Macaca mulatta: one gene and its partners. The protein of the gene in region 1 interacts with the protein of each later gene in a pairwise test. Links are inferred from orthologs where the notes say so. Each region holds a gene or a part of one and is shown in the gene's direction. Other genes may lie near its edges. The genes, in order: NDN, E2F1 and APBB1IP.

Region 1 (3,750 bases):
GAAAAGTGTTGAAATAATTCCAACTAAGACTGATATCTAGGAATTACCCTGGTGAAGTGGGAAGCTAAAGAGCCTGTTGGAAGGACTGGTGTGGGAATGGCTCTGCCAAAAGTGTTATGTGCATGCAAACCCAAAGAGAGAGAGCACAGAAAACCCTTCAACATCAACCTGCTTGAGGAAAAATAAAGTGACAAGTGGGAAAAGATACATACTCACAGCGAGGACTCTAGACATGTTAAGACAATTTTTAAATGTGCTTTTGGCTTCGAGTGGCAATAATTAGACTCAACATATTTAAGAAGCTACTGATGAGAAGAAACGCTGGAAGCGCTGAAGGACCACATCAGCCCAGACCAAGGATGCTGAAGCAGCATCAAGGCCCTTGGTTTCAGAGGCTCCACCAATGACCCTTTTTTCAGGGAGACCCTGTAGGAGCGAGTTTTGTCTTTGCCCAGTGGGAATCTGTCTTCTATACTTAGAAAACAGGGTTACCCATGTTGCCCCTGCTACCCTTGGGTCATCTCAGAGACACTACCAGATATTACCTATGAGACCTAGTTGTTTTTTTTTAAATCTCAGGAAGGACTTGGGTGTGGCTTCCAACGTGGAGGACTCAGTAGCTTCAGAGAGGGTCCTGGGAGAAGGTGAATCGGAGAATAAGGGTGCTGGGCAGAGGGAAAAAGACATTATTATACAAGTTTGTGCTAAAAGATATAGCAATCCTTCTGCTGTGGACTAAGTATGGAAAAAAATAAAATGGAATCAAAGTGACCCAAAGGAAATGTAAAACTCAAATTTATGCCCACTAAAGCATTAATGATGCTCTAAGTCCGCTGCCTACTTAAAAGGTTCATAGTTCACATGGGTTGACAGGAAATTACGTTAAGGACACGCTGCATTTCTCCTTTTCTTACAACCCCTCTGATTTGGTAGGGAGGGAGTCAATCATTTTTTTATTGGAATTTCTCAGGATTCCAACTTCAGACATACACTTTACACATTTTCTTGGACAAGCCCGACTGTTCCTCTCACTCGTTCGCATAAAGCTCAAGTTTACACAGCCGCCCAGACCTTTCTCTGGGACGCTCATATTTAACTTAATTCTGGATATATCAGGTAAGCGTTTCCCAAGAAACTTGACCCCAACATCCCAAAAACTTAAGTTATCATCTTTCTCCTAAACTGGCCCCTTCTCCAGTACGCATCCATCGCACTCTTCTCCTGCCCTAGATCCCCTCAGCCCAAACGGGAAACCCCGGGATCGCTCTCTCCGCAGGTGAAGCTTAGCCAGGGACCCTCCCCGTCGGGGCTCCGCGCTGCCCCGCCCGCCCCCAGCCGCTGGCCAAGGCCGCAGTCGCGCAGGCGCAGTGCCGCGTCCCGCCGCCGCCCCGCCCTGCCCGCCGCTGCGGAAGGCGCCGCGCACAGCAACGCGCACTTCCTCTCCAGGAATCCGCGGAGGGAGCGCAGGCTTGAAGAGCTCCTGGACGCAGAGGCCCTGCCCTTGCCAGACGGCGCAGATATGTCAGAACAAAGTAAGGATCTAAGCGACCCTAACTTTGCAGCCGAGGCCCCCAGCTCCGAGGTGCACAGCAGCCCTGGGGTTCCGGAGGGGGTTCCTCCGTCCGAGACCCTGGCAGAGCCGCAGAGCCCTCCTTTAGGCCCGACGGCCGCCCCGCAGGCCGCGCAGCCTCCCCAGGCCCCGAGCGACGAGGACGACCCGAAGGCCCTGCAGCAGGCCGCGGAGGAGGGCCGCGCCCACCAGGCCCCGAGCGCGGCCCAGCCCGGCCCGGCCCCGCCAGCCCCGGCGCAGCTGGTGCAGAAGGCGCACGAGCTCATGTGGTACGTGCTGGTCAAGGACCAGAAGAAGATGATCATCTGGTTTCCAGACATGGTGAAAGATGTCATCGGCAGCTACAAGAAGTGGTGCAGGAGCATCCTCCGGCGCACCAGCCTCATCCTCGCCCGGGTGTTCGGGCTGCACCTGAGGCTAACCAGCCTGCACACCATGGAGTTTGCGCTGGTCAAAGCGCTGGAGCCCGAGGAGCTGGACAGGGTGGCGCTGAGCAACCGCATGCCCATGACAGGTCTCCTCCTCATGATCCTGAGCCTCATCTACGTGAAGGGCCGCGGCGCCAGAGAGAGCGCGGTCTGGAACGTGCTCCGCATCCTGGGGCTGCGGCCCTGGAAGAAGCACTCCACCTTCGGGGACGTGCGGAAGCTCATCACTGAGGAGTTCGTCCAGCAGAATTACCTGAAGTACCAGCGCGTCCCGTACGTGGAGCCGCCCGAGTACGAGTTCTTCTGGGGCTCCCGGGCCAGCCGCGAAATCACCAAGCTGCAAATCATGGAGTTCCTGGCCAGGGTCTTTAAGAAAGACCCCCAGGCCTGGCCCTCCCGATACAGAGAGGCTCTGGAGGAGGCCAGAGCTCTGCGGGAGGCTAATCCCGCTGCCCACTGCCCTCGCAGCAGTGTCTCCGAGGACTAGCCAAGTCTGGAGGCAGATGAATGCTTTCTGATCCTCACCAGGGCTGTGGAAGGGTGGGGGTGGGTCATTAGAGTGTTCAGGATTTACAGTGCAGTATTCACGTGTAACTTTTACGTTTTCAGTACAGTGCTTTTATACCTTTAATGCAATGTTGTGTTCATTTGGGTACTATTGTGTAGTATTTAGGATGTATGCATGTTTGTTTATATGTAAGCTTGGTTGGTGCTTTCGCTTTTGTGGTACCTTTCTTGGATTTTTGTATCAGAGACGTGCTAAACTGATGAAGTACATTGAGAACGTTTCCATCTTATTAATTTACATGGGACTGAGATGTGTGTTGGGGTAGACTGCTCCTGCAGAGTTTGGAAAAACTCACCAGCAAAGCCGGCCTAACCAAGAAATGTCAAGGCCCTCATGACCTTGCTGGGGACTGAAAACATCCTCGTGGAGTAAACTAATTTGAACTGGACTGGTCTCAATGTGAGAGCACTTGGCACACTTTACTAAACACATATACAACCCCACCGTGAGTCAACTTTAAAGTAAACATTAAAGATTCTTGTGATACAATCATTTCTGGAAGTGTACGTTATCATTTTAACAAAGCAGTATGGTTGGGAATGAGACAATTCTCTGTTTTACAGTATACACAGATATAACTATTTCCCCTAATGGGGTGGGAAAAATCGCTACTCATGATTACTCCTAAATTTGTGAAGTTTGTAGTTTTGTCTTTAACTCATGTTTATTTCAAAAACATGCACAAATATAGAAAAGCATAAAAAACAAAACAGTAAGATTGTCCATAATCACATCCTATGGGAATAAAAACCAAAAATAATTTCCTTCCCTTAAGTTTCTACATTTTATCAAAATTAATAGATGCTTTGTGGGCACTTAAAGAGTGAGACATTGTACATGAGCCCTGACGTGTATTTTTCTCCTTTTATCTAATCCTCACAACAGGCCTGTCAGGCAGGCAAGAACTGCCTCTGCACCATGGAGGAAACACAGGAATAATGTAGGTAATGGACTTTCCATAGCTCATACAGGTTAATAAGAGAAGGCGCTAGGACTAGAACTCACAATGAATCCAGAGTCCACATTTGTCCCCACCTGCCTTCAACTCCCCTACACCCTGTGGTTTTTAGGTTATTTATTTTTAACTTTATATTGAAATTTCATGTGGGAGCCCACACTCACATGGGTTCATGGGCCACACATACAAAAAGGCTAGGAATTTTATTTTTCTAATTCTTAGGATA
Region 2 (3,727 bases), on another chromosome or scaffold:
TGGAACAGAGGCAGCAGTGGGCAATAGAGGAAGCGAGTAAATCCTTGGGAGGGCTCCCCAGAAGTGATGTGTTTTGTTTTTGCGACAGGATCTCGCTCTGTCACCCAAGCTGGAGTGCAGTAGCATGATCATAGCTCACTGCAGACTCGACTTCTCGGGCTCAAGCAATCCTCCCAGCTCAGCCTCCCAAGTAGCTGGGACTACAGGCACGCGCCACCATGCCTGGCTAATTTTTGTATTTTTTGTAGAGACGGGTTTTCACCATGTTGCTCAGGCTGGTCTCAAACTCCTGGACTCAAGCGATCCACCCCGCCCTCTGATTACAGGGATTCCAGGCGTGAACCACCGCGCCCAGACGACGCTTCATGTTATTGTAAACGTTTGTTACCTTTCTGTTCCCGTCTACTAGACTGTGAGCTCCTCAGGGCCACGAGTTAAGGATGGGGCAGATTTAAGGATGAGGCACAGAGCAGGCTCTTCAAACGTTTGTTGAATGAGTGAGGGAATGAATGAGTTCAGGCCGACGCTTTACGTTGGCTGTTGGAGATTTTGGCTAAAATGGGACTTGCAGGAAAGCTTGACGTCCCCCCGCCATTTCTAGCCACCGCTCTTCAGCTTGGGCTCTGGGTGAGCGGGATAGGGCCGGGTGCAGGATTAGGATAATGTCATGGGTGAGGCAAGTTGAGGATGGAAGAGGTGGCTGATGGCTGGGCTGTGGAACTGATGATCCCGAAAAAAAGAGGGGGCAGTCTCTGGAAATCTAAGCTGAGGCTGTGGAAGGCTACAGGTTGAGGGTCACGTGCAGAACAGAGGCTCTGTTCTGAACCTGCACTATAGAAAGGGCAGTGGGATGCGGGAGCATCGGGGCGGGGCAGGGCGGGGCCCGTGTTCCCGTGTCCCCACGCCTCCAACAGGGGACGCCCGGGCTGGGGGCGGAGAGTCAGACCGCGCCTGGCACCATCCGGACAAAGCCTGCGCGCGCCCCGCCCCGTCATTGGCCGTACCGCCCCGCGCCGCCGCCCCATCCCGCCCCTCGCCGCCGGGTCCGGCGCGCTAAAGCCAATAGGAGCCGCCGCCGTCGTTCTCGTCACGGCCCGGGCAGCCAATTGTGGCGGCGCTCGGCGGCTCGTGGCTCTTTCGCGGCAAAAAGGATTTGGCGCGTAAAAGTGGCCGGGACTTTGCAGGCAGCGGCGGCCGGGGGCGGAGCGGGATCGAGCCCTCGCCGGGGCCTGCCGCCATGGGCCCGCGCCGCCGCCGCCGCCTGTCACCTGGGCCGCGCGGGCCGTGAGCGTCATGGCCTTGGCCGGGGCCCCTGCGGGCGGCCCATGCGCGCCGGCGCTGGAGGCCCTGCTCGGGGCCGGCGCGCTGCGGCTGCTCGACTCCTCGCAGATCGTCATCATCTCTGCCGCGCAGGACGCCAGCGCCCCGCCGGCTCCCACCGGCCCCGCGGCGCCAGCCGCCGGCCCCTGCGACCCTGACCTGCTGCTCTTCGCCACACCGCAGGCGCCCCGGCCCACACCCAGTGCGCCGCGCCCCGCGCTCGGCCGCCCGCCGGTACGGACCCCAGGGACGACGCGCCGACAGCGCCTCCTGTGCCCCCCGCGCAGACCCGGGAGGGCGCCGTGTTTGGCCTGAAGGCGGCAGGGGGCGGGGGAGGGGTTGACTGAGGCGCCCAGGCTGGGCGGTGCAGAGCCGGGGTTGGGCCTGCGGGCCCCGCCCTGGGGTGCGGGGTGACCTCGGGCCGGTCCCTGTTTGCTCCTCTGTGCTCTGGGCCTCAGCTTCCTCACTGGAGGCTCCGCAGCGTCAGACTCAGTGATAATAATAACCCACGTGTATTCAACTGGCGTTTACTGCATGCCAGGCCTTCGGCCGACTTCAAGTCAGCTAAAACTCACAACCCCGCTGTGAGCTGTGTTGTCACTGTGCCCATCTGACGGAGGAAGAACTGAGGCCCAGAGAGGGGAAGTGACTTGCCCCTGGTCATACGGCTGCAGGTGGTGGGGCTGGGATTTGAACTGAGGCCTGCTGGCTTCAGCTCAGAATTTGCATCTCGGTAGTGAGCACAGCTGCTAGGGGAAGTGAAGGCGGGGCGGAGGAAGGTCCTGGGGCCTAACCGTTGGTGAGCCATTGAGGAGACCCTCCTTCTGCCTCGATGCTGACTGCCAGGTGCAGGCCTGGCTGGCCAGGCCTCTGGGGACAGCCCTCCTGGCTGGGAGGCCTTCTCTGCAGGGGCGGGGCAGCTGGACCAGCTGCAGGTCCCCTCCCTCTGCCTGTCCTTCCATCTGCCACCCTCCACCCTCCCAGGCCCTGGTTGCCATGGAACCTCATTAATCAGGCAGGCCGACCCCTGAGTCTCTGTAGAAGGACTAGGTGGGCTGGGCCTCTGGGAGCTGGAGAGGCCCCCAGTGCCAGGAGAGAAAATGTCCCAGGGAGATCCTTTAATAAAGTCCTCCCTGATCGCTGAGCTCAAGACCTGTTCAGACTGGGGGGCCCAGAAGAGGCGGCTGAATTACAGTGGGAGAAGGGATTGGAGGTGTAGAGCTGGGACCTGTGGGGCGCAGGGCAGGGTGTGGAGACCAGTTTGACTGGCGCAGCCTATGGGTGAAGGTGGGGCTCTGGTGTGCAGGCGGGGCCTGGCCAGGCTGGATGGGGTCTCAGCAGGGAGCTTGAAGCAAGTGGGAGGGGTGAGGCAGGACTCAGGACAAGGAGGTAGAAGCTGCCTAACTGCTGATGGGGGTGTGGGTGGCAGCTGGTCCCTGAGGCATCCTGAGGAGGCTCCCCCAACCCCCTTGGCCCCATGCCCAATGCTGCCTTCCGGAATCACCACAATGCTAATAATAATAACAATAGCAGCCACCATTGTTTTGAGGATGTCTTGTGTGCCAGGCTCTGTGCCAAGCACTTTACCTAATTAACTCATTTAACCCTATCAGCAGCAGTCCCTTTTTACAGATTGGGAAGCTGAGGCCTAGAGATGTTAGAATCTTCCCATGTCATTCTGCTCTTGAGTGGGGAGACCAGTCTGCATTTTCTGTGAGGTTGACCTCTGGGACGCCTTGCTTCCTAGAGATGCTGATAGAGGTTGGAGAAAGGGCAGGAAGGGCTTTTAGGGGCCCTTCCTCTTAATGAGTGGGTGGGAGGGGTTTGTACCAGGGGTGGACCAGGTGGCCTGTCTCCTGTACTCCAGGGACCTGTCCCTGTGGGTACCGCTTGGGACCTGGGCAAGCATCTTCCATTCAGTTGTGTGACAAGCATATAGCAGGCTCAGGTCTGCAGAAACCTAACAGAACCCGAGGGTCTTGTCCTCAAGTAACTGAACAGGATTATGGGTTCTAGGATCAAAGGGAGGGACAGGGGCAAAGAAAAATGCCCTCCGCGCCACCTGTCAGGGGCAGGCTCATTGGCTTGGGCACTGCATTCATTCAACGGTTGTTGAATTAGTGAATGCCCAGGAGGCACTAGGCACAGAGACAAGGAGCCCCGGCTCCCAGAATACGTAAGGGCCAGGAGGCTAGCACCATTCTGGAGCTGAAGTCCAGAAAGTCCACAGGTTCGGCTTTTGGCCTCTCTGCACTGGCATTTGTCTGGGGCAGTCCTTGAAATAAGCTACAGGCTTAGCTTCTATACTAGCAGGCATTCGTTGAACACCTGTATATAACGCTCTGTGCGATTTGGCCATTCCTCTTGGCCCTGCCTGTCCACTTCCACAAACTCAAGTATTATAACT
Region 3 (3,650 bases), on another chromosome or scaffold:
AATATTTCAGTTTAATTGTAGTCATCTCAACTGACGCTTTCTAAGCACTAACTCAGTGCCTGGTATCACAACACTGACAATGATAGGAGCAATGATACCCAGACACCCAGCAAGATATAAACACAGTGATGTTACATCACAGTAATAAGACACTATTCTCATTAAGGAAACAAGATGTACACATGTGGTCTAATTTGGATACGGGACAAGACAATTAAAAACTACTGCTATGTATGGAAAATTAAATTTGTATGGAATTAGATTAAGAATAGATTTGTTTTGTCTTCACTTTAAAACACTGCTAAAATGAGTTCAAAATATTTTGCCCAGGCTGGGTGCGAGCCTGTAATCATGCTTGTAATTCCATCACTTTGGGAGGCCAACACAGGAGGATCACTTAATCCCAGGAGTTTGAGACAAGTCTGGGCAACATAGTGAGACGACTGTCTCTAAAAAAATTTAAAAATTAGCCAGGCATGCTCGTATGTGCCTGTAGTCCCAGCTACTTGGGAGGCTGAGATGGGAGGATTGCTTGAACCCATGAGGTCGAGGCTACAGTGAGCTATGATCCTACCACTGCACTGCAGCCTGGGCAACAGAACAAAAGCCTGTTTAAAAAAAAAAATAATTGCCCAAAGTCATTCAGAGAGTCAGTGACTAATTTCAGAATAAAATCTATTTCTATCCCATTCCCCAATTCCATATTACTCAATTCTATATTCACAAATTTAGCTAATCTTTATTAAAACATTTCATCTCTATTGATAAATTTAGAAATCTTTAATATATTAAAAATCTATTAATAACTAATATAATAATTCAATTTATTAAATTTGCTTTGGAAATTACTAATATAAATATTATTATGGAGGTTTTGTCCCCAAAATTTTTATAATAGAGTAAAGGTTTATATGTCAACAGTCACAATGTGATTGATTACATTAGAAAATTATAAATATGCTTCTTTAGTTCTATATATATTTTCTCTGAAAACATTTTAAATTAATTTAACTTGATTTTATAAAGAAATTATATATAAGCTGGGCCTGATAGCTCTCACCTGTAATCTTAGCACTTCAGGAGGCTGAGGCAAGGGGATCACTTGAGGCCAGGAGTTCGAGACCAGCCTGGTCAACATGGCAAAACCCTGTCTCTACTAAAAATACAAAAATTATCGAGGCAAGGTGGTGCACACCTGTAATCCCAGCTGCTCGGGAGGCTGAGGCAGGAGAATTGCTTGAACCCAAGAGGCAGAGGTTGCAATGAGCTGAGATCATGCCACTGCACTCCAGCCTGGGTGACAAAGCGAGACTCTGTCTCAAAAAAAAAAAAAAAAGAAGTTGTATATAAAAGTGATTTACAGTAAAATAAACTCTTTTTTTTGTATTTTTTTTTTTTTTTTTTTTTGTATTTTTAGTAGAGACGGGGTTTCACCGTGTTAGCCAGGATGGTCTCAATCTCCTGACCTCGTGGTCCGCCCGTCTCGGCCTCCCAAAGTGCTGGGATTACAGGCTTGAGCCACCGCGCCCGGCCAAAATAAACTCTTTTAACACATTGAGGAACACCAAACTTTAGTCCCAGTACTGTAAACTAGCACTACTAGCATTACTGTAATATGCTGTGTGGCGTTTATGATGATGATGTCTGACAATGTATCCTTTCACAAAGCTTATTTGTTACTGAATAGGCTTCATTCCGGCTGCTCCCATTTCCTCAGTCTGGTTCATCATACCTATAGCAGCTAGAATTCTCCTCATGGATCACTTCCTTCCTGCCCATCCTTTGTTCATTATATTCACCATATCATATATGCCTGATCATCAAAGTACTCCACCAGGACTACTCACTGACACCACCTCCACTACACCACATGATCTAATCAATGTTCAGGATCACACAGATTACCATAGTAATCCCACACATGGAAGAAATCCTAAGGTGATCTCCCCTCCCTCCCTCTCACTCTGAAAATTTTTGTCTTTCCTGTCTTTTAAAAGTTAACTCCCAGCTTACTATCTTCATTAAGTTTCTACCATTTAATCCCATAATTTTTTAATTCCTTGCCACCTATGGTGCTTTAATTTCTGCTATTTATCATTAATTGCTCTTGGCTGGGCACAGTGGCTCTTGCCTGTAATCCCAGCACTTTGGGAGGCTGAGGTGGGAAGATGGCTTTAGCCCAGGAGTTTGAGACCAGTCTGGGCAACATGGCGAAACCCTGTCTCTACACAAAATACAAAAATTAGCTGGACCTGGTGACATGCACCTGTAATCCCAGCTGCTTGGGAGGCTGAATTGGGAAGATCGCTTGAGCCTGGGAGGCAGAGATTGCAGTGAACCGAGATCACACTATGGCACTCCGGCCTGGGCAATAGAGTGAGACTCTGTCCCAAATAAATAAATAAATAAAAATTTTTAAAAAATTGCTCTTTCTCCGAATGTGAAGTTTTCTACAGTTAGGTGGTGAGCCTATAGAAGCTCCATCTTCACCCCAAAGTAACAGGCACATTAAACCCCAGTTGCTTGAAATCCAGTTTCTTCTAAATAGCAGCAGTACTCTATTTGCCCTCCAAATGCTTAGGGAAAACTCCCCTTCCATCCATTTCCAATGCTCTCCCCTCCCCTACTTTTCTAAAACTCTGAGATCTTACACTATAATATGCAAGGATTTCCTACTTAAGCATCTATTCGTGGGCTTGGATTTGACTTTATAGCTGGTGTGTCAGGTGCCCCAGTGTAGAGAACACATTTCCTCCATTTATTTTCTTGGTATTAGAAGCTCACTCGGATTAACCATGCAACAAATGCAGCAACAGTCCTTTAGGAATTCCTATACTTGTGCTATTGAATTAAAATATTCTCAATCTTCTCATTATATCATAACCAATCAAAATAAGGATTCCTTTCTACTCAAATATTATGCTTAAAAATTATCTTCTTTCTGTTTTTCCAGATGCAAGTAGTTTTTTATACCATTAATGTGATTTTCCCTACTAGAGTCCTTAAATGCACTGGAAGACCAAGACTTAGAGGCTCTCATGGCAGATCTGGTAGCAGACATCAGTGAAGCTGAGCAGAGGACAATCCAGGCACAGAAAGAGTCCTCGCAGAATCAATATCATTCAGCATCTCTACAGGCATCAAATTTTAGTGGTGCAGCCCCTCTTGGTCATGGAACAAATGTTGCTGCCACTGGTATCAGCCAATATGAGGATGACTTACCACCTCCACCAGCTGATCCTGTGTTAGACCTTCCACTGCCGCCACCACCTCCTGAACCTCTCTCTCAGGTAAGTGCGTGGGACCAGAGTCGGCAGGGCCATCAGCCTCTGCTACCTATCACTGATGTTCTCTGAAGTGATCATTACATTCCAAAGTTTGTGCATCCAAAGATCTGACATACTAAAAAACCAAGATACAGAGCATGCTCGTTGCAAAGCTAGAACACTGCGTAAACAAGCCACATGGGTGTATATCAAGAATGTATTAGGGTCATATTCAGGATTTACTATAGTTTGCTTAAAAAATATTTGTATGCAAACACTCTTTGATAAAACTCAGTCTTTTGGGGACATGTTTTATTAATATCATATTGAAATGTGGAACTGATTGTATATTTCCATGTCCCTGCTCCTAGCTCAGTACATAGA

The links.
Region 2: the proteins of NDN (region 1) and E2F1 interact in a two-hybrid assay, tested with the Homo sapiens proteins (2 studies listed by BioGRID). The link is inferred for Macaca mulatta from reciprocal best matches to the Homo sapiens genes NDN and E2F1.
Region 3: the proteins of NDN (region 1) and APBB1IP interact in a two-hybrid assay, tested with the Homo sapiens proteins (2 studies listed by BioGRID and IntAct). The link is inferred for Macaca mulatta from reciprocal best matches to the Homo sapiens genes NDN and APBB1IP.

The regions. Positions count from the first base shown.
Region 1 is NC_133412.1:6,264,396-6,268,145, forward strand, and holds NDN (necdin), read left to right. Parts: upstream 1-1,405; 5' UTR 1,406-1,519; coding exon 1,520-2,485; 3' UTR 2,486-3,326; downstream 3,327-3,750. UniProt on the Homo sapiens protein: Growth suppressor that facilitates the entry of the cell into cell cycle arrest.
Region 2 is NC_133415.1:86,457,664-86,461,390, reverse strand, and holds the start of E2F1 (transcription factor E2F1), read left to right. Parts: upstream 1-919; 5' UTR 920-1,293; coding exon 1,294-1,554; intron 1,555-3,727. UniProt on the Homo sapiens protein: Transcription activator that binds DNA cooperatively with DP proteins through the E2 recognition site, 5'-TTTC[CG]CGC-3' found in the promoter region of a number of genes whose products are involved in cell cycle regulation or in DNA replication.
Region 3 is NC_133414.1:27,928,289-27,931,938, forward strand, and holds part of APBB1IP (amyloid beta A4 precursor protein-binding family B member 1-interacting protein), read left to right. Parts: intron 1-2,997; coding exon 2,998-3,290; intron 3,291-3,650. UniProt on the Homo sapiens protein: Appears to function in the signal transduction from Ras activation to actin cytoskeletal remodeling. Suppresses insulin-induced promoter activities through AP1 and SRE. Mediates Rap1-induced adhesion.